4 linked regions of the Sus scrofa genome follow. The protein of the gene in region 4 interacts with the protein of the main gene of each other region in a biochemical or structural test. Links are inferred from orthologs where the notes say so. Each region holds a gene or a part of one and is shown on either strand. Other genes may lie near its edges.

What was found. The genes of interacting proteins can lie anywhere in the genome.
Region 1: of the proteins of FBXO7 (region 4) and UXT, one has a biochemical effect on the other in vitro, tested with the Homo sapiens proteins (2 studies listed by BioGRID). The link is inferred for Sus scrofa from reciprocal best matches to the Homo sapiens genes FBXO7 and UXT.
Region 2: the proteins of FBXO7 (region 4) and PINK1 form a complex in vitro, tested with the Homo sapiens proteins (2 studies listed by BioGRID, with this or other methods). The link is inferred for Sus scrofa from reciprocal best matches to the Homo sapiens genes FBXO7 and PINK1.
Region 3: the proteins of FBXO7 (region 4) and CDC34 form a complex in vitro, tested with the Homo sapiens proteins (2 studies listed by BioGRID, with this or other methods). The link is inferred for Sus scrofa from reciprocal best matches to the Homo sapiens genes FBXO7 and CDC34.

What each region holds. Positions count from the first base shown.
Region 1 is NC_010461.5:42,174,208-42,179,683, forward strand, and holds the end of UXT (protein UXT), read right to left. Parts: intron 2,308-5,476; coding exon 2,244-2,307; intron 2,031-2,243; coding exon 1,980-2,030; 3' UTR 1,935-1,979; downstream 1-1,934. UniProt on the Homo sapiens protein: Involved in gene transcription regulation. Acts in concert with the corepressor URI1 to regulate androgen receptor AR-mediated transcription. Together with URI1, associates with chromatin to the NKX3-1 promoter region.
Region 2 is NC_010448.4:78,875,398-78,881,628, forward strand, and holds part of PINK1 (serine/threonine-protein kinase PINK1, mitochondrial), read left to right. Parts: coding exon 1-5; intron 6-1,604; coding exon 1,605-1,705; intron 1,706-3,928; coding exon 3,929-4,111; intron 4,112-4,590; coding exon 4,591-4,754; intron 4,755-5,959; coding exon 5,960-6,087; intron 6,088-6,231. UniProt on the Homo sapiens protein: Serine/threonine-protein kinase which acts as a sensor of mitochondrial damage and protects against mitochondrial dysfunction during cellular stress.
Region 3 is NC_010444.4:77,759,653-77,766,629, forward strand, and holds the end of CDC34 (ubiquitin-conjugating enzyme E2 R1), read right to left. Parts: intron 5,743-6,977; coding exon 5,656-5,742; intron 5,564-5,655; coding exon 5,466-5,563; intron 4,983-5,465; coding exon 4,848-4,982; intron 2,839-4,847; coding exon 2,631-2,838; 3' UTR 1,935-2,630; downstream 1-1,934. Other genes in the region: GZMM (granzyme M precursor), read right to left, coding at 110-179. UniProt on the Homo sapiens protein: E2 ubiquitin-conjugating enzyme that accepts ubiquitin from an E1 ubiquitin-activating protein, and catalyzes its covalent attachment to other proteins by an E3 ubiquitin-protein ligase complex. In vitro catalyzes 'Lys-48'-linked polyubiquitination.
Region 4 is NC_010447.5:12,510,934-12,517,164, reverse strand, and holds part of FBXO7 (F-box only protein 7), read left to right. Parts: intron 1-1,286; coding exon 1,287-1,514; intron 1,515-3,063; coding exon 3,064-3,205; intron 3,206-5,476; coding exon 5,477-5,560; intron 5,561-6,231. UniProt on the Homo sapiens protein: Substrate recognition component of a SCF (SKP1-CUL1-F-box protein) E3 ubiquitin-protein ligase complex which mediates the ubiquitination and subsequent proteasomal degradation of target proteins and plays a role in several biological processes such as cell cycle, cell proliferation, or maintenance of chromosome stability.

The DNA of each region.
Region 1 (5,476 bases), on a different chromosome or scaffold from region 4:
GTGTGTGTGTGTGTGTGTGTGTGTGTGTTAAAGCCATGGATTGATGCACTGGGGGACTGGAGGCAGGAATACAAATTCACAGGTTAACTCCCTGTTAAGGGGGGGGGTACAACGCCACGGAGTGACTCACAAGGAAGAGTAGGGATGGGAAAAACAAGGCCACAGACGGGGGCCGCTGAAACTTGAGGACCTGAGAAATACAAACACTCAGACGGACCTACTGTCAAAGAGTTAGACGCTGCCAGAGAACGGCACCCTCCAAGCCGGGGTTGGGGGGCAAGACCACGGACGAGTCTACTGTAAGGGGGGGTGGGGAGAAATACAAGCACTAAGACCGATCCATTTTAAAACAGGAAGGGGGGATTAGGCCACGGTCAGATCCACTACAAGGGGCGAAGGGACGGGACGATGCCACAGGCAGGTCCACCAGCCGTGGCGGTGGCAGTGAGGAGCCGAACACCAGAAGGCCATGGGCCAAGCCACATCCCCCGGCGCGGGGGCGGGAAGGATACGTGGGGTCAGGGACCGGGCCCTCAACCCTCCAGGCCCCGGGCTCACCTGTGCGTAGCGCTGCGGTGGTGTTGGCAGCTCCGGGGGGCGGGGGCTCCATGCGCGGCCCCACCGCCCCCCAGGCCCGGGATCCGAGGCGGCGGTGGCGGCGGCGGTGGCGGCGGCGGCGGCGGCGGCAGCGGCGGCGGCGGCAGCACCTAGAAGCCGCCCCTGCGTTTCCCCACCGCTCACGTGGGCCCGTAAAGGAGGAGCTGAGCTTTCAGCCGCTCGCTGATTGGTCAAAGCGCCACGGATCGACCGCGCGGCTTCCAGGGTTGGGGAGGCGGACCCTGCCCCATAGGGCCTTGCTGGGATTGGCCCTAGGGGAACTGACGGAACGCAGCCGGCCTCCTGGGTTCCGAGGGGGCGTGCTCGGCCCCGCCGACGCTCACCGCTGATTGGCTCAGGAGAGACTGCTAGGCCGTGGGCGATTGACAAGGTTCCGGGGGTGCCTGCCTCGCAGTGATTGGCCTATATGAGATTGATGGAAGACGGCCAGCCTCCGAGGATAGAAGTGGTTAGGCTCTGCTTCCTGCTGATTGGCGGGCGATGGACGCCTAGACAGCTGCCAAAACACCAATGGGCGGTGCCGAACTCCACGCAGCCCAGCGGAAGCAGGACTTGTATAGAAGTACACAGGCTAGCAGCCCCGCTGGGAGGAGGTCTGACCAGGGATCTGCGGAGGCGGGCAGGCTAACTCTGTGGCGATTGGCTAGAAAAGACGAATTTAGAACGAAGCAGAGGAAGGAGGGCAGGACAGCTGCCAGACGTGCGAAGGAGTGTTGAGTGGTGGAAACGAAATGCCTACAAGGGCAGGGTCGAGCTGCAGCCAGTAATAAAGGGGTGGAACCTGGCTCTGTATCGATTGGCGGAAGCTGGATTCAGCCTAGAATGAGGACCGGACCAGGGAGGGCGGGCGAGATCGGCCCTGCGCCCATTGCTGGAGCTGTAACTATTTAGAAGCTGGGACAAGGCCAAGGTTGGGCCTAGACGGGCGTGGGTGTAATTTAAGTTACCTGAGGAACGATTGGAGTGTGGGAGAAGGGTAAACTTTAGGGCCAGGAGTGAAAGGTTGATTGCCTTAGGGAACAAACCGCCACCCTGAATCGGCCCGTTCTCTATGGTTAATTCAAGCAGTAGTGCACAGGAAAGGAAATAGAAAGAAGGGTCAGGTGGGGGCCCAGGTTGCCAAGGCGATGGTAGAGAGGGCAGAGCGGAAAGTCAGGTGGCACATTCTGCCAGGAAACAGGCTGGAGGCGGCACTTCAGTGGTGCTTTAAAGATTCTACACAGACTGGATCTCTGCGCCTCCCAGTAACATTGTGCTTTAGAAACGGCACTTTAGCCAACAGCAGAAGTTAATGGGGGAAAGAAGGGCCACGTGACTCAAAGACATTCAGGCTCTTTAATGTCAAGGGAGGTAGGAAGAAGTCAGTGGCGAGGCTCGGGGAAATTCTGCAGACCTTGTAGTTCTCTAAGCCCCTGAAAAAGAGAACAGAAGAGATTGAACGGAGACTGGGTCCAGGCCCCACCTCAGGCTTGCTTGGAACTCCCTTCCCTCAGAGCCAGCCTGGTTCCTGTCTGACTCATTTGGAGGGAAAGATGGCCCTTCCCATCTCTGGCTCTCTCCCTTCCTCAGGACACCACCCTAAATATTTGGAGATAGAGTCTGGGAGTGGGGTGAGCTGCTCTCACCTCTAGCAACATGTGGATATGGGCCTTGATATTCATGGAGTCCTTGGTGAGGCTGTCGCTGAGCCTGGAGAAAAGAAACGAGAAAGGGCGAGGTGGGCCCCACTTAGGATCCGTGAGGATGATGTGCCCTCACCGCTTCAAGAACCGCCTAAGTCCTGGATGACTTCCACACGGCAGGTGGTGGGACCCCTACTACCTGGCCTGCTCCTAGGCAGACATGCCTGGCCGCCATCTGCACTACACTGATTCCAAGACCTTTACTGAATGCCTACTCTATGCCAGGTTGTTTTAGGTACTGGGGAGATAGCAGCAGACATAGCAAACGAAAATCTCGGCCTCTTGGAGCTCAGATTCTCATTAAGGGGGACAGATGATGGAGTAAAATATGGAGTATGTCAGATGGTTAAAATTATAATGAAAAAAAAATTAAATGAGAGAGGATATGGGAGTACAGGAGTGGGGGCTGGAATTCGAATTAGGGTGCTTAGGGATGGCCTCACTGAGAAGCGTTTGAGTAGAGACTTAAAACAAAGAAGCGAGTCATGTGGACATATGGAGGATGTGTGTTCCAGGCACAAGGGGTGGAGAGTGCAAAGGCTCTGAGGTGGGCGCGTACCTGGCATGTCTGAGGCCCAGCGAAGAGGCCAGTGTGGCTGGAGAAGAAAAAGTGAAGTGGGGAGGTAGAGGAGGCGAGGTCACGGAGGTAAGTGGGGGAGATAGTTCGTGTAAAATCTACCAGGCCATGGTGAGGACTCTGGCTTTGACTCTAAGTGGGATGGGAGCAAGGGGAGTATTGTGATCAGAGAAGGGAGGTCAAATGACTAGGGTTTCAGAGGATCCATCTGGCTGCTGTGTGGAGAACCGACTGGGGATAAGGACAGCTGGTGTGGAAGAGGAAGGCCACTGCAGAGGCTGTCGGAATCGTCCAGGTGAGAGATGCAGACTCGGACCGCAGTGGCAGCGGTTGAGGGGATGAGAAATGATTGGAGCTGGGATACTTCTTTGAAGGTAGAGTCAATAGGATTTACCAAAGGAGGATGTTGGATGCAAGAGAGAGAGGACTCAAGGAAGACACCAAGGCTTAAAGCAACTGGAAAGCGGGACCACTCTGGCTCTGGGCTGTTGAGCTACGCCAACCAGCCCATTCCTACCTCCTGACATCTAAGCCAACTGCGACCAGGCTCACCCAAAAGAAGCCTAAGTGATGCAAAGGATAAAAGAAGGCCTTTCTGAAGAATGAGTAAGAGTTAAACAGGACAGTCTTTCACAAGAAGTCCGAGAGGCCGGAAAGAGCTTCTAGAGGAGCAATCAGGAGGCCAGTGTTAGAAAGTAAGTGAATGGTGGAAGGAAAGTGGCACAAGATCCAAGAGGTAGGCAAGGGCTAGATCATGCACGGTCTTGATATCCTGATAAGGAAGGTGGATTCTATTGTGCCGAGTTATCCTGTCAACGTAAGAGTCAGTTTTGGGGAAACTAAATACTGTTAAGAAAAGTAGAAGGCAACGACATAGGATGTTAAATTGGAAAAAAAAAAAAGAGTGTAAACTCATTTATGTATCACTATCTCCCCCCAGTTTTTCTATTTTGGCTCCCCCGCAGCATATGGAGTTCTGGGTTAGGCATCAGATCCAAGCCACAGCTGCTATCTATGCTGCAGCTGCAGCAACACTGGATCCTTTAACCCGCTGTGCCGGGCTGGGTATCGAACCTGCAGCCTGGTGCTGCAGAGATGTGGCCGATCCTGCTGCACCACAGCAGGAACTCCACTATCTCCCAAATTTGTATTTTCTTCTTTGGCTGGGGTGGGGGCATGCAGAGGTTCCCCGGCCAGGGATAGAACCTGTGCCACAGTGGCAACCCGAGCCACAGTGGTGACAACACCAGGTCCTTAAATACCAGGCCGCCAGGGAACTCCCCAAATTTATATTTTCAGTCCAGCCCTCTCCCCCGAACTCCAGCCTTGGGAGTTTTAATTACATCTTCAGAAAATCTACTTCATTGTTTAATAAGCATCTTACACTTACTAGGTCCTAGACTGAACTCCTGATCTTGCCCTCCAATTCCGCTCTTTCACTGTCTTCTCCATCTCAGAAAACGGCAATTCCATTCTCCTAGCTGCTCAGCTCCAAACCTAGACTCCGCTTTTTTTTTTCCTCACATCCCATATCCAATCAGGCATTCTGTTTAAAACTGCAACTGGGAGTTCCCTTTGTGGCTCAGCAGTTGACGAACCCAACTAGGATCCATGGGGATGCAGGTTCAATCCCTGGCCTCGCTCAGTGGGTTAAGGATCCGGCATTGCTGTGAGCTGTGGTGTAGGTTGCAGACTTGGCTCGGATCTGGCGTGGCTGTCGCTGTGGCATAGGCCGGCAGCTATAGTTTTGATTTGACCCCAGCCTTGGAACTTCCATATACCTCGGGTGTGGCCCTAAAAAAAAAAAAAAGGCAAAAAAACCCACAAAAAACTGCACTGTCCCATCAGGCAATGTGTCCAATCTCCAATCTGTGCTGTTCTCTGCAGCACCATCAACCTGTGACATACTACTGCCTTTACTGATTTGTTTATGGTCTGTCTCCCCTGACTAGAATGTAAGCTGTGTAAGGGGAGAGATTTGGTGTGCTTTGTTCCTAGCATGTATCCTCAGGAACCAGAACAATATGTGGCATATAGTAGGGACCCAATGTATGTTGAATGAATAAGTGAATGACCACTTCACTCACAGGAACCTGAAGTCCTCAGAAGAAAATAAATGGAGCAGGCTGTTGTTGCCAGACAGCAAGGATGCTTTCTTTTTTTTTCTTTTCTTTTTTTTTTTTTTTTTTTTGGCCTTTTTAGGGCCACACATGTGGCATATGGAGGTTCCCGGGCTAGGGGTTGAATCGGAGTTGTAGCTGCCAGCCTACACCACAACCATAGCAATGCCAGATCTGAGCCGCATCTGTGACCTACACCACAGCTTACGGCAACACCAGATCCTTAACCCACTGAGCGAGGCCAGGGATCGAACCTGCAACCTCATGGGTAATAGTCAGATTCGTTTCCACTGAGCCACGAAGCAAACCCCGAGGATGCTTTCAAAAATATCTGGATAATGCTCCAAGAACAGAGGAATGAATGTGATCAGCTTTTAAGGGATCATTTGAACATTAAAAGAGAACAAAATTAAGTTATTGGTACAAGCTCAGTCTATGAAAGGCTACGGGTTCAACACTTTAAAAAGAGAGAAACATGT
Region 2 (6,231 bases), on a different chromosome or scaffold from region 4:
TCTCGGTAAGGGTGGGGCCTCCATCTTTAAAGTCGGAATTTCTCTAAATGCCCATCTTGGGGGACCCGATGGCACTTTTCCCCAGAAGTAAGTAGGAAACACAGACTCTCCCACAGTACGGGTACCTCACTCTCTTGCACAAGAGTCTGAGGCAGCAGGTCTCAAATTGTAATGTGTCCACGACTTGCTGGGGGCTCAGGTTTGAGGCAGATTCTGACCAGCTGGTGGGGGGTGGAGCCTGAGATTCTGCCTCCCTAACAAGCTCCCAGGTGATGCCTATGCTGCTGGGTTGTGAACCACGCTGAGGACCAAGTGCTGAAGGGTTCATTTCAGGGCTCCTCTCCCTCCACCTGCCGCCCTGGGAGGAGGGGCCACATGCCTTCCTCTAAACTCGCCTCCCAGACCGAAGGCTGGCTCGTCACCTCCCTGCTCTCAACTCTTGCAGAACTCAAGACTTTGGGAAATTGAATTTTTCCCACTCAAGAGCAGAGATAACTGTCCACTTAGAATAATTTCTTTACCTTGCCATTATCACAAGTGGGGTGGGGGGGTGGGGTGTTAGGAAATTCATCAGGATCTGATGTGCTTTCTGCTGCCCAGAGCTGCTTTCCAGGGCTGGGAGGGACACAGCCATGCACCTCAGGCAGACCCCGAAGAATTTGGGTTCATGTTTTCATTTGGGGAATGAAGTTTATTAGACTGTACTTCCAAGCTGGCTTAATAGCTGACAAGTAGCCAAATCCTTTGCTTGGAAACATCCAGTCTTGCATCAAAACTTCCACTGATTGGGGCATGACAGCAAATACATTCACAAAAGCTAAAAGTCTTGGAGTTCCTATTGTGGCTCAGTGGTTAACGACCCAACTAGGACATCGGGTTCGATGAGGACACGGATTCAATCCCTGGCCTTGCTCAGTGGATTAGGGATCTGGCGTTACCACGAGCTGTGGTGTAGGTTGCAGATGTGGCTCAGATCTGGTGTGGCTGTTGCTGTGGCATAGGCCAGAGGCTCCAGCTCTGATATGACCCCTAGCTTGGGAACCTCCATATGCTGCAAATGCAACCCTAAAAAGACCAAAAAGAAAAAAAAGCTGAAAGCTTTGATGCTTAAAGGGTTAACAGGTTTCACCAGGTCCTAAGAACGCTTCGTAATGAGAATAAGGTGCTTTCCCTTGTCACTGGTTTCTGGGTTTTTTTGTTTGTTTGTTCTAATGGTAGGGAGTGCTGTTTGTGATTCAGAGTTTATCCAGGGTCGGCTCGTCGGGCTCGGCCTGTCTGCAAGGGCAGGTGTTAGTGCTCAGTGGTCAGTTTCAAGCCTGGTGGTGACCGAGCCATCTGGGACAGGAAGAAGGGTCCATGTCCAGCCTTCTTGACATCTCTTCCTGCCCTGGGCACCCGAGCTGTGCAGGGTTGAGGTGTGGGAAGTGTGCACCTCTGCCCTCTCTCCCAGGAGAAACTAGGCTTGGCTTGCCCCTTCAGAGAGCTTATCTTCGCTTGAAGGTCAAAGCCGATTCTAGGCAATAACTGTCCTGGTCCACACTACAAGGAGGGCCTGGACTTATTGGGGCCTGTGTAACCCAGGATCCACTATGGATGTGTTCCAGGCGGGCTCGTCCAGCGAAGCCATCCTCAGTACAATGAGCCAGGAGCTCGTCCCAGCCAGTCGGGTGGCCTTGGCCGGGGAGTATGGAGCAGTCCCTCACAGGTAAGCTCCACCTGCCCCCACATAGAGCAGAATCCTCACCTGTGCCCTCAGCGCAGTGTCCGACACGACACGCAGTAGATCAGACGTGCTCACTGAATGATGTAGTCAGTGATGGATTTTCAGTTGGTGGATAACTGGGAAAGAGTGTGGATGGTCTGATTTCTAACTGAAGATGCAGGTGGCTGACACTGGAGCAGGGAGAGGAAGCCACCTCAAAACACCCAGTTCAGAACAATGGGAAATTGATCTGAGTTCTGACCCCTAAGTAACGCCCAGGTGGAGCACCACCTTTCTGTGCAAGCTGAACCCTTCCCCTTGGAGGTAACACTCACTTCACTAATAGCTGCAGTGACCTGATGGTGCCAGGAGATTTTTTTGCTTTTTAGGACCGTACCTGGGGCACATGGAGGTTCCCAGGCTAGGGATCAAATCAAAGCTGTAGCTACTAGCCTACACCACAGCCACAGCTATGCCAGATCTGGCTGTGTCTGCTACCTACACCACAGCTCACGGCAATGCCAGATCCTTAACCCACTGAGCAAAGCCAGGGATCGAACCTGCCTCCTCCTGGATACTAGTCAGATTTGTTACTGCTGAGCCATGACAGGAACTCGTGCCAGGAGATTTAAAAGGGTGGGGGGAGTTCCCTTGTGGCACAGCAGGTTAAGGATCCAGTGTTGCCTGGATCAACTTCGGCACGGGTTTGATCCCTGGCCCTGGAACTTCCACATGCCATCGGTATAGCTTTAAATAAATAAATAAATAAACAAACGGGAGTTCCCGTTGTGGTGCAGCGGAAACGAATCCGACTAGGAACCATGAGGTTGTGGGTTCAATCCCTGACCTCGCTCAATGGGTTGGGGATCCTCCATTGCTGTGGCATAGGCTGGCTCCAGTTCAGGAGCCCTCTGTGTAGCAGAGAAGCCTAAGGAGTCGGGAACATGGAGTTCCCGTCGTGGCACGGTGGTTGACGAATCCGACTAGGAACCACGAGGTTGCGGGTTCGATCCCTGGCCTTGCTCAGTGGGTTAACGATCCTGCGTTGCCATGACTGTGGTGTAGGTTGCAGACGCAGCTCAGATCTGGCATTGCTGTGGCTGTGGTGTGGGCCGGCAGCTACAGCTCCGATTCGACCCCTAGCCTGGGAACCTCCATATGCTGCAGGAAGCGGCCCTAGAAAAGGCAAAAAGACCAAAAAAAAAAAAAAAAAAAAGTCAGGAACAAAGTCCAGCATGCCTTGATTCTGATTCTCCATGGGCCCCAGTGGCCTGGGGCTGGGAAAGATGCCTCGATCCCTTTGATCGCATAGAACAGGGCCCATCTGCGGGGACTCCAGAGGAGCGGTGGAGGCCATGCGTGGACTGGCTGCAAAGCTCAGGACTGAGGCAACTCAGGGCGGGTGTTGAGCTCTCTGGGTCGTTGTGCTGTCTCTGGGCTTCTGCTCCATCCTCCTCTCTCTGCCACCCAGTGTCCTTATTACTCACGGCTACACCCCTGGCTTCCTCGGGCCTCATGGCATCCTTTCATCTTCAGTTCCACTGGGGGACTACCCAGCTTCCGCCCCATTTCTTCATTCACACTCCCCAAGGAGGCACTCTAACCGGCACCCCTCCCCTTTTCCTGCCAACCACCGTGACTGCAGGCTCGTTGCCCTTGGGTCAGGCACCCACCCTTAATCCAAGCAGCTCTGGGCAAGGGGGCAGGGCTGAGACACAGCAGGCGGTCATGGGGTCCCAGATTGGAGGGGCAGAGGGGTGGGCAGGGCAGCAGGTCCCATGTCTACTGTGAACGGCATCTGTATCGGTTCAACGCAAAACTTTGTTGAGCCCATACTTTGTGCCAGGTGCTGTTAGAACTTGGAATCAGGGAGTTTCCAGGTCCTTTACAAGTATGAACAACCCGATGAGGTGTGTTGCTACCTTATTCCCCTTTTGGCATTTGAGATTGAGCCCAGACAAGTTAAGCAACTTGGCCAAGGGTTTGGAGAGGCAGACGTGGGATGCGGTCTGACTCCAGGGTCTCCCACACTGTGCTTGGCGTGGATGGGCGGTGGGCGGACTAATGGAGTCACCAGATGTGCAGAGTCATTTTCTTTCCGGCACATGTTTGATATAAATAACTAGGTGGTTAACTGAATGGCAGTCTTCATCGTGGTCTTAGATTGACTATATTTCCAAGTGTCTTATCTGCCGCCGGCCTCATGTTTGTCCCACTGGGTAACAGAAAATCCAGGAGCGGTCCCAAGCAGCTGGCCCCTCACCCCAACATCATCCGGGTCTTCCGTGCCTTCACCTCGTCTGTGCCGCTGTTGCCAGGGGCTCTGGTTGACTACCCCGATGTGCTGCCCCCACGTCTTCACCCCGAAGGCCTGGGCCATGGGCGGACACTCTTCCTCGTCATGAAGAAGTAAGTGGCAGGGCCTGGCATGACAGGAGCTGCTCTCCACCTTGGCGCACGTGGAGCCCGGGGTCGCAGGGAAGAGGATGCTTGCCCTCTGGGGGATTGGGCTGTGCTGAGGATGCGTGTCTGCCCTAGAGGGCACTTCCCTTTAGAAGGACTTTTCACGGTAACAGAAAGGCATCTTCAGTCAGAACGTACTTTTGCCTAGTGCTTTGGGTGCCTGCCTCACCTGGTGTTTTAACACAGGCTGTTCTTCCTCCCTCTGTGCCCCTGGCATTGCCATGTGGGTGTTTTAAGGAGACAGGCTCACATGTGAGGCCCCAGCTCTTCCTGAGTCCAAGATGGAGGGCGGGAACAGAAAGGGTGTTTGGGGAAAAAAGAAGTCAAGAGTTTCAGGACCAAGAGGAGGGTCTCATCCCAATAGGAAATAAGGTGCTCAATCCCTGATGCGCGGTAGCCAGAGGCCCTGTCGCCCTTTCCTCCAGCTACCCCTGTACGCTGCGCCAGTACCTTCGCGGGAACACCCCAAGCCCACGCCTCGCCACTGTGATGACGCTGCAGCTCCTGGAAGGGGTGGATCACCTGGTCCAGCAGGGCGTCGCTCACAGAGACCTGAAGTCTGACAACATCCTTGTGGAGCTGGATGCAGGTGGGCGCCCCCCTGCACCTCCAGGATGTCTGGGGCGCACCGGGCTTTAGGCCTGGGGACATCTGGGAGCCTTGGGGCTTTTGTGGTTTTTTACGTTCTGAGTTGTTGTGTCTTCACTTAGCTCTGGACACAAGAGACAAGCACGCCCTCCTTCAGGGTGGAGCCCTGTGTTCTCTGGGGGACTCACCGGGGGGGGGGGGGGGTTAATAGTTCCCAAGGTCTTTTCACTGGCCCTCTTCAGAACAAACACCTCAGTGGTAGACGTTTTCTTGAATAAAGTGAAAGAGAGGTAGACTTTAGCTTAACGTAAGAAAGGATCCTCAAACAGTGAGGGCTCTTTGAACACGAGCCCAGCTGCCTGTGGCAGTGAGCTCCCCATCTCCGGACGCACTCAGGTGAAGCTGGATGGGTCACTTGCTTGGGGAGCCTGTGAAAGAGTCAAGACAGCTGGTCAGTTTTGAACTTGAAGCTTTCAAATAATTAGATATTCAGTTGAATTCTAGAGGAGCTGGTTTTTAAAAGGAAGTCCATATGAGTCCCTTTCCAAATAACTAATTTATAATGCACCTATTAGGTTTGAATTTGAGGTTTCAAGGTCAAAGCAAAGACTCCTTGGAGGTCATTTGAGCCAGTACCACATGATGAGAACATCAAGAGCTGCTCCTTTGGTCTTGAGGGAACTCCAATTACTAGATTACTTAGATGGAGACAAATTTTATCCAAGTGGTTTTTTTTTTTTTGCTTTTGTCCTTTTTAGGGCCGCACCTGTGGCATATGGAGGTTCCCAGGCTAGTGGTCTAATTGGAACTGTTGCCACTAGCCACAGCAACGCCAGATCCAAGCCACGCCTGCGACCTACACCACAGCTCATGGCAACACTAGATCCTTAACCCACTGAGCCAGACCAGGGATCAAACCCACTACCTCATGGTTCCTAGTCAGATTCGTTTCCGCTGCGCCACAATGGGAACTCCTTATCCAGTTCTTTGCTTGGGTATTTTTGATTTCCTGGAGGCACACCCGTACTGGTGTGGCTGGCCCATGTCCAGGCCTTGCTGGCCTGCGCTCCTGCGTCAGCACGGAGTCCCTGCGAGCCCTGTGGCCCACGCCCTCAGGGTGGCTTTAGTGGAGACACAGGTGGGCCTGGGGGCAGTGGGAGGGGGGAGGCTGGGCCGCTGACCTCTGCAGACACTTTCCCTCCGCAGACGGCTGCCCCTGGTTGGTGATCGCAGACTTCGGCTGCTGCCTGGCCGATGAGCGCGTGGGCCTGCAGCTGCCTTTCACCAGCTGGTACGTGGACCGCGGCGGAAACGGCTGCCTGATGGCTCCTGAGGTGAGTCCTGCCGAGTGTCAGGTGCCATCAGCAGGGCCCCTCCCACCAGGATTCCTCCGTGTACTCAGCACTTGCTCTTTTCTGACCCATAATTTGGCGACGTCCCTTCCCTGCCTTTTTTTGTCTGACGTTCCCAGTGCGTTG
Region 3 (6,977 bases), on a different chromosome or scaffold from region 4:
TGAGGACAAGGGAGTTGTTCCAATCTCTGTTCCAACAACCAGTGCTCTGCCTCCCACCCAAGGACTCTGGGTCCCAAAGCCTCAGGCCTGGGTTCCCAGCCCTGCTCACCTGCCTGCAGGACCAGCAGCAGCAGCAGCAGCAGCGGTGGTGGCTGCAGTGAGGAGCTGGCAGCCTCCATGGTGCAGGGGAGTCTGAAGAGGTGCTGTCTGGGCCCCCGCTGAACAAAACCATCCTTCCTGTGGGGGAGGTGACATTCACACCCCTCACTGGTTCCATTTCATCCAGAATGTGTTTTTGAGACACATGGGCTCTCCAAAGACAAAACCCCATCACCACTGTTGCACCTGAAAAATGTACAAGAATTTCTCATTATCATCTGGTATTTCGTCGTGTTCAAGCCCCTCATCTCATATGTGGTGTTTTGTGGGTTCAATGGGATAATTTCCTTGCTCCTTTATCTTTTTGTGGCAAAACACACAACCATACATTTACCATCCTAACCACTTTTTTTTTCTTTTTAGTGTTGCACGTGTGGCATGTGCAAGTTCCCAGGCTAGGAGCCGAATCAGAGCTGCAGATGCCAGCCTATACCACAGCCACAGCAATGTGGGATCTGAGCCATGTCTGCGACTGCATCTCACAACACCGGATCCTTAACCCACTGAGCAAGGCCAGGGATCGAACCCACATCCTCATGGATACTAGTTGGGTTCTTAACCTGCTGAGCCGCAATGGGAACTCTGAAACTCTCCCCTTTAAACACTGACTCCCCAGCTCCTCCCCCAGCCCCTGACCCACCATCTACTTCCTGTCTCTGTGGGTCTGACTCCTCCAGGGATCTCCTGGGAGTTGAATCACTCTTTGTCCTTCTGTCTTTCCATGTCTGGCTTCTCTCATTGAGCATCATGTCCTCAGGTCCATCCACATTGGAGCTGGTGTCAGGATGTCCTTCCTTTTTAAGGCTGAATCATATTCCTTTGTATGGATGGACCAATTTGTCCATCATCTGTCCACGGATACCTGGGGTCTTCTAGTCTTTGGCTATTATGAACAAAGGTGGTATGAACTTTCCTGTGTTATTACCTGGCAAATCCCAGGGTCCAAGCCAGGCTCAGAGGCAGGGAGCACTGTGATGATGTCTGCCCTGGGCTAGGCAGGGAGGGTGCAGGTATTCATGACCCCAGGAAGTAGGCTCCATTGGTATTGGGGGAGGGGTGATCACACAGGAAACAATAATAGAGGGTGCCTGCTTACATTAGAGTTTCACACAGACAAGTAATTTTGCAGTAGAGTTATGTCCAGAAAACTTCATGGGATAACCTAGCAGTAAAAGCCGTTTACCTGAAACCCAACCCAAGGCTGAGGCCCAGAGCTGGGAGTGTTGGGACTCCAAGGCCTCAAATACCAGTGGGGTGTGTGTGCACCAGCTGGGGGGTTTTACACCCAGCTCCCACCCTTGGATAGCCCTGTGGAGGGCAGGTCTGTATTCCCTCCCCCAGGGGCTGGGGGCTGGCACCTGCTTCCACCTGTCCCACGTATGAAAGTGGTGCCATGTGACCCTGAAGGTGGTGGGGACGAGCTGTTCCTAAGCCCTCATCCTGGATCCTCAGGCAGGTCACCTAGGTGGTAGAGTAGAGACAAGCCAGCCCTATGTCCCTGTGCCCCCAACATGCACAAATCAAGCACAATGAGGGGTGAACGCTGAGTCTGGGGTGGTCTCTGACGCAGCAGTGGAAGCGGGGATGGGGAGCAGGGGTCCAAGTAGAGCAGAGGGGCTGGACTGGAGGTGTGAGGGTGATGGTAGGTGGGGTGGGGTGACTCCAGGACAGAGGGCAACCATCTTCTGCAAGTGGCCAGACACTCTGTTGCAACTGCTCAGTTCTGAGGCTGTGGCTCAAAAGCAACCAGATAGAGATGAAGAAGTGGGTGGGGCTTTGTTCCAATAAAATTTTTATTTACAAAACAGGCAGAGCTGGGGGGTGGGTCTGGCTGCTGAGGACTCCAGGGTCTCTCATTGCAAACTGGCAGCTCTGGGATGCTCAGTAGGCGACACCAACCCCGGGGATGCGGGGGGAGGAGGCTGCAGGCAACTGGTGGGACCCCCAGGACCCCTGCAGCTCTAAGACCACACCTGTAGGCAGCTGGGGCTTCCTTTCATAACCAGCTCCCTCCTGCCCAGATCCCAGATCAGCAACCAACAGAAATCCTCAGGGAACTTCCAGGCCTCCCTGCCCGCCAGGCTCAAAGGGGTGCTGCCCGCCGTGGTCACACACACATGGGCACAGGCCATGCGCCCGGACCCCGAGGTCCTCTGGCTTCTCATAAAGTCGCTTTATTTAGATTCCAAACAAACCAAAGCAGAGCGAAGAGTGACCCCAAGTTACTCGTCTACTCGAGCTGGGACCCCGAATCTCTGGCTCCAGCCAGCAGGATGGGTAGGCAGCTGGGGTCCACAGGCCCAGCTCCAGCAGCGGGTGGACGAGATGGAAGCAGAGGACCAGGGAGGGGCCTGGGGATGGCCGGGGGCCGCGCACCGCCGGGAGGTAGTCACAGCGGCAAGAGGCGCCGAGAGCCCACACAGTCGGGCGGCTGAGGTAAAATTTGTAAGTTTATTCGTGGGGATGCAGTGTCAGGACTCCTCGGTGCCCGAGTCATCCTCGTCGTCCCCAAAGCAGCTGTCGGCCTCGGCCTCGCCGTCCTCGTAGTAGTCATCGTAGAAGAGGTCCGAGCCCTCGTCGGGCACCGGGGCCTTGGTCTTCACGCAGTACTCGGCCAGCGTAGTGGGCACCTTCACGCCGTCCCGCTCTGCGTCCACCTTGGTCCCCAGGACCTGCTTCCTAGAGGGAGACGGGGGAGTCAGCTGGTCCTGTCCGGCCTCAGGGACTGGCCTGCAGGGACTGGGCACAGCTCTGGGGCCAAACAGGTGCCCCCCCCACCACCACCACCCGGTGGCTTGGGGGGACCACCCACCTTGGCCCCTCATGTGCTCCACATGGAAAACTGCCAGCAGCCTGGGGGTGGGGGTGGGGCAGCCACACTACAGGCGCATGGCCCCAGGGTGCTGCGACCAGAGAACCAGCAGACAGGCCAGCCCCATGGGAGGAAGCCTGAAATGGACAGACCAGGACACCGGGGACGCCCAGGACAGCCAGAGACTGATCCCTAGTGAAGCCCATGCCTGTCTGCAGGAGCTTGGGTTGCAGTCCTGCTCAGGCAGCACGTGGGACAGCCAGGGTGGCCTGAACTAAAGGACATGGGCTGCTCAATGATAGGCTTGTTAGGAAGACCAGGTCCCCAGGTGGGCAAGGGGGGAGCAGCCCCAGGAGAGGGCATGGCGGATCCCTCAGCAAACCCACAGTGTGCTCAGAACATCCCACCAGGGTTTTAACTTAAGCATCTTCCCAGCCAGCAGGATGTCTCTGCACCAGCTTCCTGTCCAGAGTTTCATCAACGCAGCAGCACCACTGAAGGCCAACAGCCCTGAGCCTGAGCTCTGCCCGTGTGGTTGCACAGCCAACTCCAGAGACAGGGGTCCACAGGCCTGCACATACGGCTCAGGCTCACCCTCTGAAGGTGCACATAGCAGGTAAATGTGGGCATGGGTGCAGGTGGGTCGTCATGTAGACCCATGTCTGACTTACTCACCTTCTACAAAGTAAATGCTTTCTACAGATTAAGGGACAGACTGAAAACCTAATTGGAATAGGCTTAACAAAGGGTTTAAGTTTGTCACAAAACAAGTCACAAGCAGAAGTTCCTGCTGCAGCTCAGCAGTAAAGAGCCTGACTTAAAAAAAAAAAAAAAAAGAGAGAGAGAGAGCCTGACTAGTATCCATGAGGACACAGGCTCGATCCCTGGCCTCACTCAGTGGGTTAAAGGATCACGCATTGCAGTGAGCTGCAGTGTAGGCTGCAGACTCGACTCAGATCCGGCATTGCCGCAGCTGCGGCATAGGCTGGCAGCTATCTCCAATTCGACCAGGGAATTTCCATGTGCCACAGGTGTGACCCTAAACAGCAAAAAAAAAAAAAAAAACCAACCCCCAAAAAAACCCCAAAACACAAAAACCAAGTCACAAGCTCCAGGAGGACAAGCGACAAAGGAAAATGGTCAGCACAGCTCACAAGACACAACACAACAGGGAAGATAGGAAGTCCCTTGGGGCATCGCTGGGGCAGGCCTCTTGTGCTCTGGGCCCCATACCCAGCCAAGCACCCATGGTTCAGGGAATGTTTGCACAGATGCCTCTGTGAGGATGGCTACCTGCTTCGTCACAGCAGGGACAGGAGACAATGAAAATGAGGGACAGTTAACCCTGGCAAGTTCCTAAGTAACGCACTGCTTCTATAACCAAGAAAAAACTGTTTTTCATGAAAGAAAGTATTTCCTAAACATGCTGATATCACATGGCTTTGTTCCCTTTTGCAAGTGGAAGTGACATTCACAGCTATAAGGTGAAAAAATAGATCACACAAAGCACACATGGAAAACACACTCCTGGAGGAGAGCAGCAGAGGCCACAGGCTCACAGACCTACTCTTGGGGGCGAGCATGAGGGGTACACGCAGGTGGAGGGGGGAGGGAGACACACACAGGCAGACTGGCAGGATCTCTGCCCTTTCTGTCACAAAGCAAAGGAACATGGCAAGACCCCCTGCTGAAATTCAGTGGTCACAGGATATTTATCTCTGTGCCCGTGTGAGGTATACACATGCACACACTCTGCGGTGCACATGGCACAGCCATGCTCGACGTGGACCACACACTCCCAGAACTGGAACGCCTCAAGGTGCGCAAGAGGAAGAGAAGCAAGGGTTCTCCAGAGAGTGGAGGGAGCAGGGCTCACCGGATGATGTCCGTGTACTCCCGGTCCCTGCCTTTGCTCTCTTTCCACTTCCTGTACATCACCGAGGCATCCACGTTGGCAGGTGAAAAGGTGTTCGGTTCGTTGAGGAGGGAGATGACGCTCAGGAGGATGGTCCTGGGGAGCAGGAGTCAGTGTGAGGGGTGTTCTCCGCCCAGCCAGCCTGTCAGGGGCATGTTCTCCTGGGAGCCTCACACCCTGAACCATGCTCCACCCCCCACCTCCCAAGCTCCTCAGACAAGATCTGAGGGAAGCCAATGCCAGAATCACCTTCCTTGCACTGAAGTAGGCCTGTCCCCCTCCCCAAGGCATCATCCTGCCTGGAGAGGGGGTCCCCTTATGCCACCCACTTTTGCTGCGGTCTGGGCCGGAAAAGACATGCAGCAGGAGGCAGGGTGCCCAGGCCTCTGGGGGTGAGCAGTCTGTCTGTGGACGAGGGGCTGTGATCATGGGCTGGAGGAAGACGGGGAGACCCCAGGGCAGGCAGATGAAGACGTGGAATTCCCAGAGCCATTCCTGAGGTGGGTGGGGCAGGGGTGTCAGGCAGAAGGTGGGGTCCCACGTTGCTACCACCAGCCTCTGAGCACCCAAGGACCTCACCTGACATTCTGGGTGGGGTTCCACCGCTCCGAGGGCAGCTCCCCACTCTGAGGGTCGTCAACCGGAGGATGGAGAATGGAGATGCACACGTCCCCAGTCTGCATGGTACAGGAGGGGGTCAGTGCCTGCAGCTCCAGATCTCACCCATAGCACCCCCTCCCACCCACCCCAATACAGGGGACCAGCTCACCTCATAGATGTTGGGGTGCCACATCTTGGTCAGGAACCGAAAGGCTGGTGGGGAGTAAGGGTAGTCAATGGGGAACTTGAGGCGCGCCTGGTGGGAGGCAGAGAGCATGGGCTCAGTAGGGCCAGAGCAGGCTGGCCAGGGACCTCGCTGGCCGGCCACAGCTCACACAAACCTGGGGCTTTTTTGGGGTCACCAGAGCTGTCCCCGGTCCCTGCCTGCTGCTGGGGGGCATGGGCACTGCCAGGGAGTAGCTCCAGTCCTGTGGGCCTGGGGGAGGGGCGGGCACATGCCAGCAGGGGCCTGGGCCTCAGCTTCCAGCTTGTGGGGGGATTAAAATAGCCGCGTGTTCACCGGGCAGTCATCCCCACACCTCCCTGGGCAGGCGCCCGCCGTGGGCGGACATGAGTCAGCGCTGGGCGGAGAGGCTCTCTACCCAAAGGTGTCGGTCCTGGCGGGGGGGTCAGGAAGGCGGACAGGAAGGTCACGGGGCAGATGGGGGAGGGCCCTATGGGTGAAAGCTGTGCCTTGGCTTCAGCCTATTTAAGCCCTAGTCCCAGGATCTGGTGGTGCTTCAGGCTCTCAGAGGCCAGGCAGCATACTAGGGGCCACACTGGATACACTGCTGTAGGTCCTTCAACCCATCTGTGGAGAACTGCTCTCCTATGCTGGAGACACAAGGGAAGTCCCTCTGCCAGCCTGGAACTCAAGCCTCAGACTCTGCCCTGGGGTCTCCGAAGCCCAGTGCTGGGTTTCTAAGTGACAGCCCAAGACCAACTGAAGCTTCCTTAGCAAGGCAGGGTGACAGGCCTCCCCTGACTAAGCACCTAGCACCCACCAAGTCCCAGGGTGCCTTTATTGCTGTGCAAACTGCAGCTCAGAAAAGGAGAGCACTTTGCCTGAGGGCACAGAACTCTGGAGGGGCTCCCAAACTTGGGTTTCCAGGGCATGCCTTCATCACCTGCTGCCCAGGACCCTCTGGCTCATATGGGGAAGTGGGTGAGGCCTGGAAAACTCAGAGGAGGAGGCTGGGAAGCGATGGTGGACCCCCTGGCACTTCCAGCCCCTGCTATTTCTGCATCTTTTGGGACACGAGGATCAGAGACCACCGTGGGTCCCAAGCTGGCCTGAGGACAGATGCTATAGCAGGCAGATGAGAAATGTGCAGCACCCTGAACCCAGTCCTTCCTTCTTCAGAAAAACAGGATTATTCCCCCCAAAGCCAGCCTAGAAGGCCCTACCCACAATCCCCTGTAAACAGAGAGTAATAGCCAGAACCACCCCCCTATTCCCCCCTCCCCATCCTTTCCTTTCCTTCCAGAGTC
Region 4 (6,231 bases):
GGTGTGTAATCAGAAAGTTGGAACGCAGTGTGATAAAGTGCAATAATCAAGGCCTGTGCAAGGCAGAGAGGGGCTCTGTATTACCTGAAGAGGTGGGGATGGGGGGAAGGGAGTGCAGAACGTGAATTTGATACAGAGTTAGGGATCCGGTGAAGAAGGGCTTTGTATGCTAAGGAGTTTAGGAGTTTGGCCTTTATTTTGTAGCACTGCATTTCTCAGCGTGTCCTCTATGAAAAGCTTGTCTCCTAAGATTATAAGTAAGTGTTATGGGGATGCTAAGTGTACAGGAAGGAAGATAGTGTTTCTTGGTTAAATGTTATGCACACTTTCTATTTTTACTGGACTTCTCAGAGCTTCATAATACCAACATGTATTTTGTGAATATACAGGGTGAGGTTAGGTGGCTGTGACACGTAGCATTTTCCAAACTTGTTTGATCATAGACCTCTGTTTTCCTAAGATCACTCGGGGTCACATTGCCCCAAGGCAGTGCTGTCTGCACTGGGGAAATACTGGCAAGCTTAGGCTGAGCCATAGGATGTAATTGGATTCTCAATGGTTGAAAACCCCTGGCAGCTGTGGGGGAAATGTATTGGAAGACAAGAAAGTGGAGTTAAGGGATACTTAAGAAGCTACTGCTGGAGGCTAGGAGAGAAAGTCTGAAATGCACTGGAGTAGGAAGGGGCAAATTGCAGGGATATTTAGGAGGTAGATTCCGAGGAGTTTTGAAGACTGATCAGAGGCGGGTGGGGTTTAGCAAGGTCATCGAGGAGGGAGTCTAGGATGATTTCCAGGTTTTTAGCCTGGTTTTCTGGTTACCAGGCAGAATTAATGGAGATGAGTTCAGGACGGAGGAGCAGATTCCTGGCTCATTTGTTTAGGGGGCTCGCTTGAAATGTGTACCATTTCAGAACCCACTGCCATGCTTTGGCTCTGAACACTAATCTCACTTTACTTAGGATACAAAATATTGGAGTTCCCGTCATGACTCAGCAGTTAACGAATCCAACTAGGAACCAGGAGGACGAGGGTTCGATCCCTGGCCTTGCTCAGTGGGTTAAGGATCTGGCGTTGCCAGGAGCTGTGGTGTAGATCGCAGATGTGGCTCAGATCCCGTGCTTCTGTGGCTGTGGGTAGGCCGGCAGGTCTAGCTCTGATTCGACCCCTAGCCTGGGAACCTCCATATACCGCCTGCGGGTGTGGCCCTAAAAAAGACTATATATATATATGTGGAAAAAAAATGAAAGTCTATTTAATGAATTCATTGTTTTTGTTATCCTTTTCAGTCAGGGCCTAGTCAAAATTCTGAAGCCGAGCCGGATCAAGATGTTGTGGATATGGAAGAGGGCACAGGTTTCTATCCCTCAGAACCAATGCTCTGTAGCGAATCGGTGGAAGGGCAAGTGCCGCATTCATTAGAGACCCTGTACCAGTCAGCTGACTGTTCCAGCCCCAGCGATGCTCTGATAGTGTCGATACATCTGCTCATGTTGGAGTCGGGTTACATGCCTCAGGTAAGACTATAAGCAGAAAACAAGCATCCTGTTAGGGTTTAGGTTTCCTATTAGCAAAGGGGTGGTGTTCTAGATTTCTCTATTAAATGTGTCTGGGTATTAATGTAAAGTGCCACACAAAACGATGGGCATTCAGTAGGCAGTCAGTAAATGCGCCCTTCCCTCTTTTCCTTCTTTTTTCCTCTTTCATTTCCTCGTCAGCTTTTAATTAGTATTATAGAATTGATGACAATTATGATTTAAAAAACCCCAAAAGATGATATGTAATCATATGTAGATAAAATATGGTCAGTGCATGTGGATTGGGCAGGACTAGATAGGTGCTGACTGGGTTATTTTTCGTTAGTGGCTCTATGAATTGCCAGTAACGGAACAGGATTCAGTTAGGAAGAGGGATGTTTTTCTTTTCCTGGAGTTGCTTATAGTCATTCATTCATTCCTTATGCATTTGGTAAGTATCTACCAATGTCAGGTGCAGTGCTTTGTTTCTGCTGTCAGGTTGCTTACAGTCTAAGAGCAGGAAAGACAAGTATACAAACCATTTTACTGTATTGGCTAAATTGTAGCAGAAACATCTACGTATATAGGATGCCAGAGATTCACAGAGGAGGGTGGAGCCTGGGATACCGTGTGAGCACATTCCACCTAATAGCTGTGCTGCTGGCCTGTGGGCTTGGTGATCAGTAGCAGGGACATGGACTAACTCACTGACCATTGAACATGCACTCCATGCCGTGCCCTGAGCCAGGAAGCAGAACATAAAGATATCAGGACAGTGCTTGTCCTCAAGGAATCCCCAAGTGGGAGACAGAAACAAATAAAAAGCAAACAACATTGTATTATAACTAACAGTAGAAGTATCTAACAATAGAAGTATGATTGGAATGTTAGAGGGTGAAAAAGAGTGGGAATGATAGAAACCAGGCTTTGTTTTGAAAAAGGCTTCACAAAGGGAATGGTATTTGTGCTGGGGTCTTGAGTGATGATCTCTCTGGCTTTGCTAGGCAGACAAGCAAGACTTTGTCAGGAGGAATCAGTCTATCTCGATGTTATTTTATGTTATGTCATATTATGCTTTATGTTATTTTTTTCTAGGGCTGCACCTGAGGCTTATGGAGGTTCCCAGGCTAGGGGTCAAATTGGAGCTGCAGCTGCCGGCATACACCACAGCCACAGCAACGTTGGATACAAGCTGCGTCTGCGACCTACACCACAGCACATGGCAACACTGGATCCTTAACCCACGAGCAAAGCCAGGGATCAAACCCAAGTCCTCATAGATACCAGTCGGGTTTGTTAACCGCTGAGCCACGACGGGAACTCCTCTGATGTTACTTTATCTATTTGAACAAGAATTTTGATGGTGGATAATGTAATATTTTTTCTCTCAAGGTATTATTAGTAGAAGTATTAAGGTTTGATAGATTTTTGATTAAAGGGACTGTATGGAATGCTTGTTTGTCGACGAGTTAGGGGCCTCTTGGATTTTTAATCTTTTCAGCAGTACTATGTTCTTCATTATTTGTTTCCCTTTCATGTCATTCCCCAGGGGACTGAAGCCAGAGCCGTGTCCATGCCCGAGAACTGGAGGTCAGGGGGCGTGTATAAGCTGCAGTACACGCATCCTCTCTGTGAGGGCGGCTCTGCTGCTCTCACCTGTGTGCCTTTGGGAAACCTCATCGTCATAAACGGTAATCGGATGCCTCGTCCTGGTCGTTAGTTTATGAATCCTCACGTGTTTCTCTCCAAACATTTTATAGCCACTTTGGGAATTGGCTGTCGTGATAGGAGGCTTCCTCAGCTTTGCTTAATCCTGAGACCACTGATAACATGGGCCTGAAAGGCTAAAGAATATGGGCTGATGGTTATGCCAGCAGTCCTCACTCTTGGGGCAGCGATACGTTTTTGCTGTCTTAACTTTGCAATTTTTTGCTCCAGGAGGGAGTTGTGATAACAGGAGTGAGATGAGTCTAGTACCTATGAACTCTCTGAAGAATGCTTTTTCTTTATGCCTGTGGATGGCTTTTTTATTTTTGTTTTTCTAAGCAAGGTCTTGAACTGAGAGATAGTGAGAGGTGAGACTGAGCCGGGGTCACTTTTTATCCAGTTTGGATCTCTGAGTGCATAGAAGTACCGCTGAGGGTTTTGAGGCCTCAGTATGTGTGTGTTTTATCCCCTGACCTCCCCTCGCCACCCACCAAGGTCACTCTGAATAGAATTTCTTTTTCTGGTTCTCTCTCACACTAGGAAATTTTGCTGGATAGCAATACATTCCATTTTTGTGTTTCATTTTAGCTCAGATGCCTCCCAGAGACCTATACCAGCTCCCAAGGGTCTGCAGAATAATTTCATAATCACACATCCTGGAGATCCATTTTAGTGACTCAACTCTTTTGTTGTATTTTGACTTTTGAGGTTTACCCTTTAGAGAGTATGGTATGATAGGAATGACTGCATTTTTATTTTTCATTACCTCTCATCTTTTGTACAGCAGGGACAGTTGCTTCGCTGTGCCTCAGCTCAGTGGTTTTCAACATGTTCTGCAGGTACTAGCTTCTGCTGAGATGGAAGCAAGGAGGAGGCTTAGCCAAGCCCCTGTCATTTCTTAAACTTGGAGCAGTAACATGTCTGTCTGTCTTGTTTAGTGAGGTCCCTTGTAAAATCTTGTTTAAAAAATGTTTTTTTCTGCCAAAGTTTATTTGAAAGCCACTGACTTCCATTGATTTGATCTTTGAAATGTAGTTCTAAGGTCCCCTTTTATATAAATTCTTCTATTTCTTTTTAATCACTAGATTCTTTGAAAAAAAATTTTTTTTTGGCTGCCCCAGTGGCACGTGAAAGTTTCCCGGCCAGGGGTGGAGCCTGCACCATAGCTGTAACCAGAGCCACAGCAGTGACAACGCTGGATCCCTAAACCCACTGAGCCATGAAGGAGCTCTGACATGTTACTGAAAAATCTCAGATTTTCAGCTCTAACATCTTTGGTGGTATTCCACATTTGTTAGGACATGACATCTTGATGGCACAACGATCTTCGAAGTCTCTTCAGCAACTCGTCACCGTTAGCAGACGGGACGTTTAGTTGGGCAGTCTTTTCCCCAGAGGCTCAGCAGGATCTAATCATGCTGCTCATCACTTACCACTTGCAGGGTTGCAGTTATCAGTTAGTGAATGTGATTTCTGCCTGTGTTTCATAAAAACATTTTAACAACACATGTCTATTAACCTGTATTTACTAGTTTTAAGATGCTTAACATAGAGAAGACCTGCTAAATGTCTTGGTTTCTGATTTTTGTTCTTTCACTAATTCTTGGCAACTCAGCTCCTTGTGGACTTGCATGGCAGACAGCCATTCCAGAACCATTCCAGGCGTGGTTCTTTGAAAAGGAGCAGTGTGTCCTGAAATCTTTGCTTCACCTGAGACATCCTGCTCGGTGCACACGTGCACCAGCCCGTCACTGGCTCTTTCCTGGAATGATACGAAGTGCGCCTTTGTATATAGGATTAAAAAATGAACTCTCTGGTGATATCAAGAATATTGGTCCTCTGGGTCTAGAGAGGGATGCTACTGTGAAAACCAGCAGGATTCCTTTAATAAACAGGGGAAGACTCATTGCCAAGGAAGGGTTAAATAAAAAATAGATGGAGTTTTTAGTGACCGCGTTAGACATAATGACTGAATTGTGTTTAACTGTCTCCTGTTACCCTTGCTGCATATGTTCAGTTACTAATAAGGTGCTGTTGGTGATACTTGGTGATACCGTAGTGGTGTTTTTGAGTGATTTTACTTAATGTGACGTAGGTTTGCACTTTGCCGTGAGGGAAGGAAATAAGCATAGAGAAGTGCTTTTGGGTCATGTGTCCTTCGTATACCGGGGCAAGGACATGCGGGTCCATACTAAAAAGTGAAGGCAATTAATGAACTGACAAAACTTTCCCATCTTTCTTTTGCTTATTTACAGCTACCCTAAAACTCAACAGTGAGATTAGAAGTGTGAAAAGACTGCAGCTGCTGCCAGAATCTTTTATTTGCAAAGAGGAATCAGGTAGTATAACCATGACTTAACTTTTGGAATGAAGCTTTGAGAGGCTCACTTGAAAAAACAAAACAAAACAAAACAAAATAGGGCAGTAGTGTTCCAAAGACCCAAAATTTCTGAATGAGATTAAAGCAGATTCAAAACAGTGTTGCCAAGTTTTAGTTTCTTTCCCTTTTTTCTTAGGGTCTTGGATGCTGAAGTATATTTATACTTCCATATGGAATGATACTAATATTTAATACAGCACACACCCCTGATGTTTCATAATTTCAGAATTAATCTTTGAGGATATTCTAGCATTGTATTTAACCAGTACGAAGAAGATCTGTGTTTTGTGGAAACCGTATAATGCAACTTCATTATTGGAGATTATTAAAGGAAAAATTGCGCCCACAATGTTTGCTTACTTTATATAAATTTGGTTGCTATTTGATGCAGACAGAAACTTTGCCAAAATTTTGCATTCTAGGCATGGTTATGCCTACATTGGAGAAAGTGAATAGATGCAAAGAAGTCAGGCTTGCTTTTTTGAGTTAATACTGAGGTGTGAGAGTTGAAGGAGAAGAGATGGGGTGGAGAGGAATGAACATCTCTTAAGTACTTGTCTTCTGCTGGATATATGCCATTACTGATGTATTTTCCACTCTATCCTCACAGAAAACTTAGGCAGGTTTTAC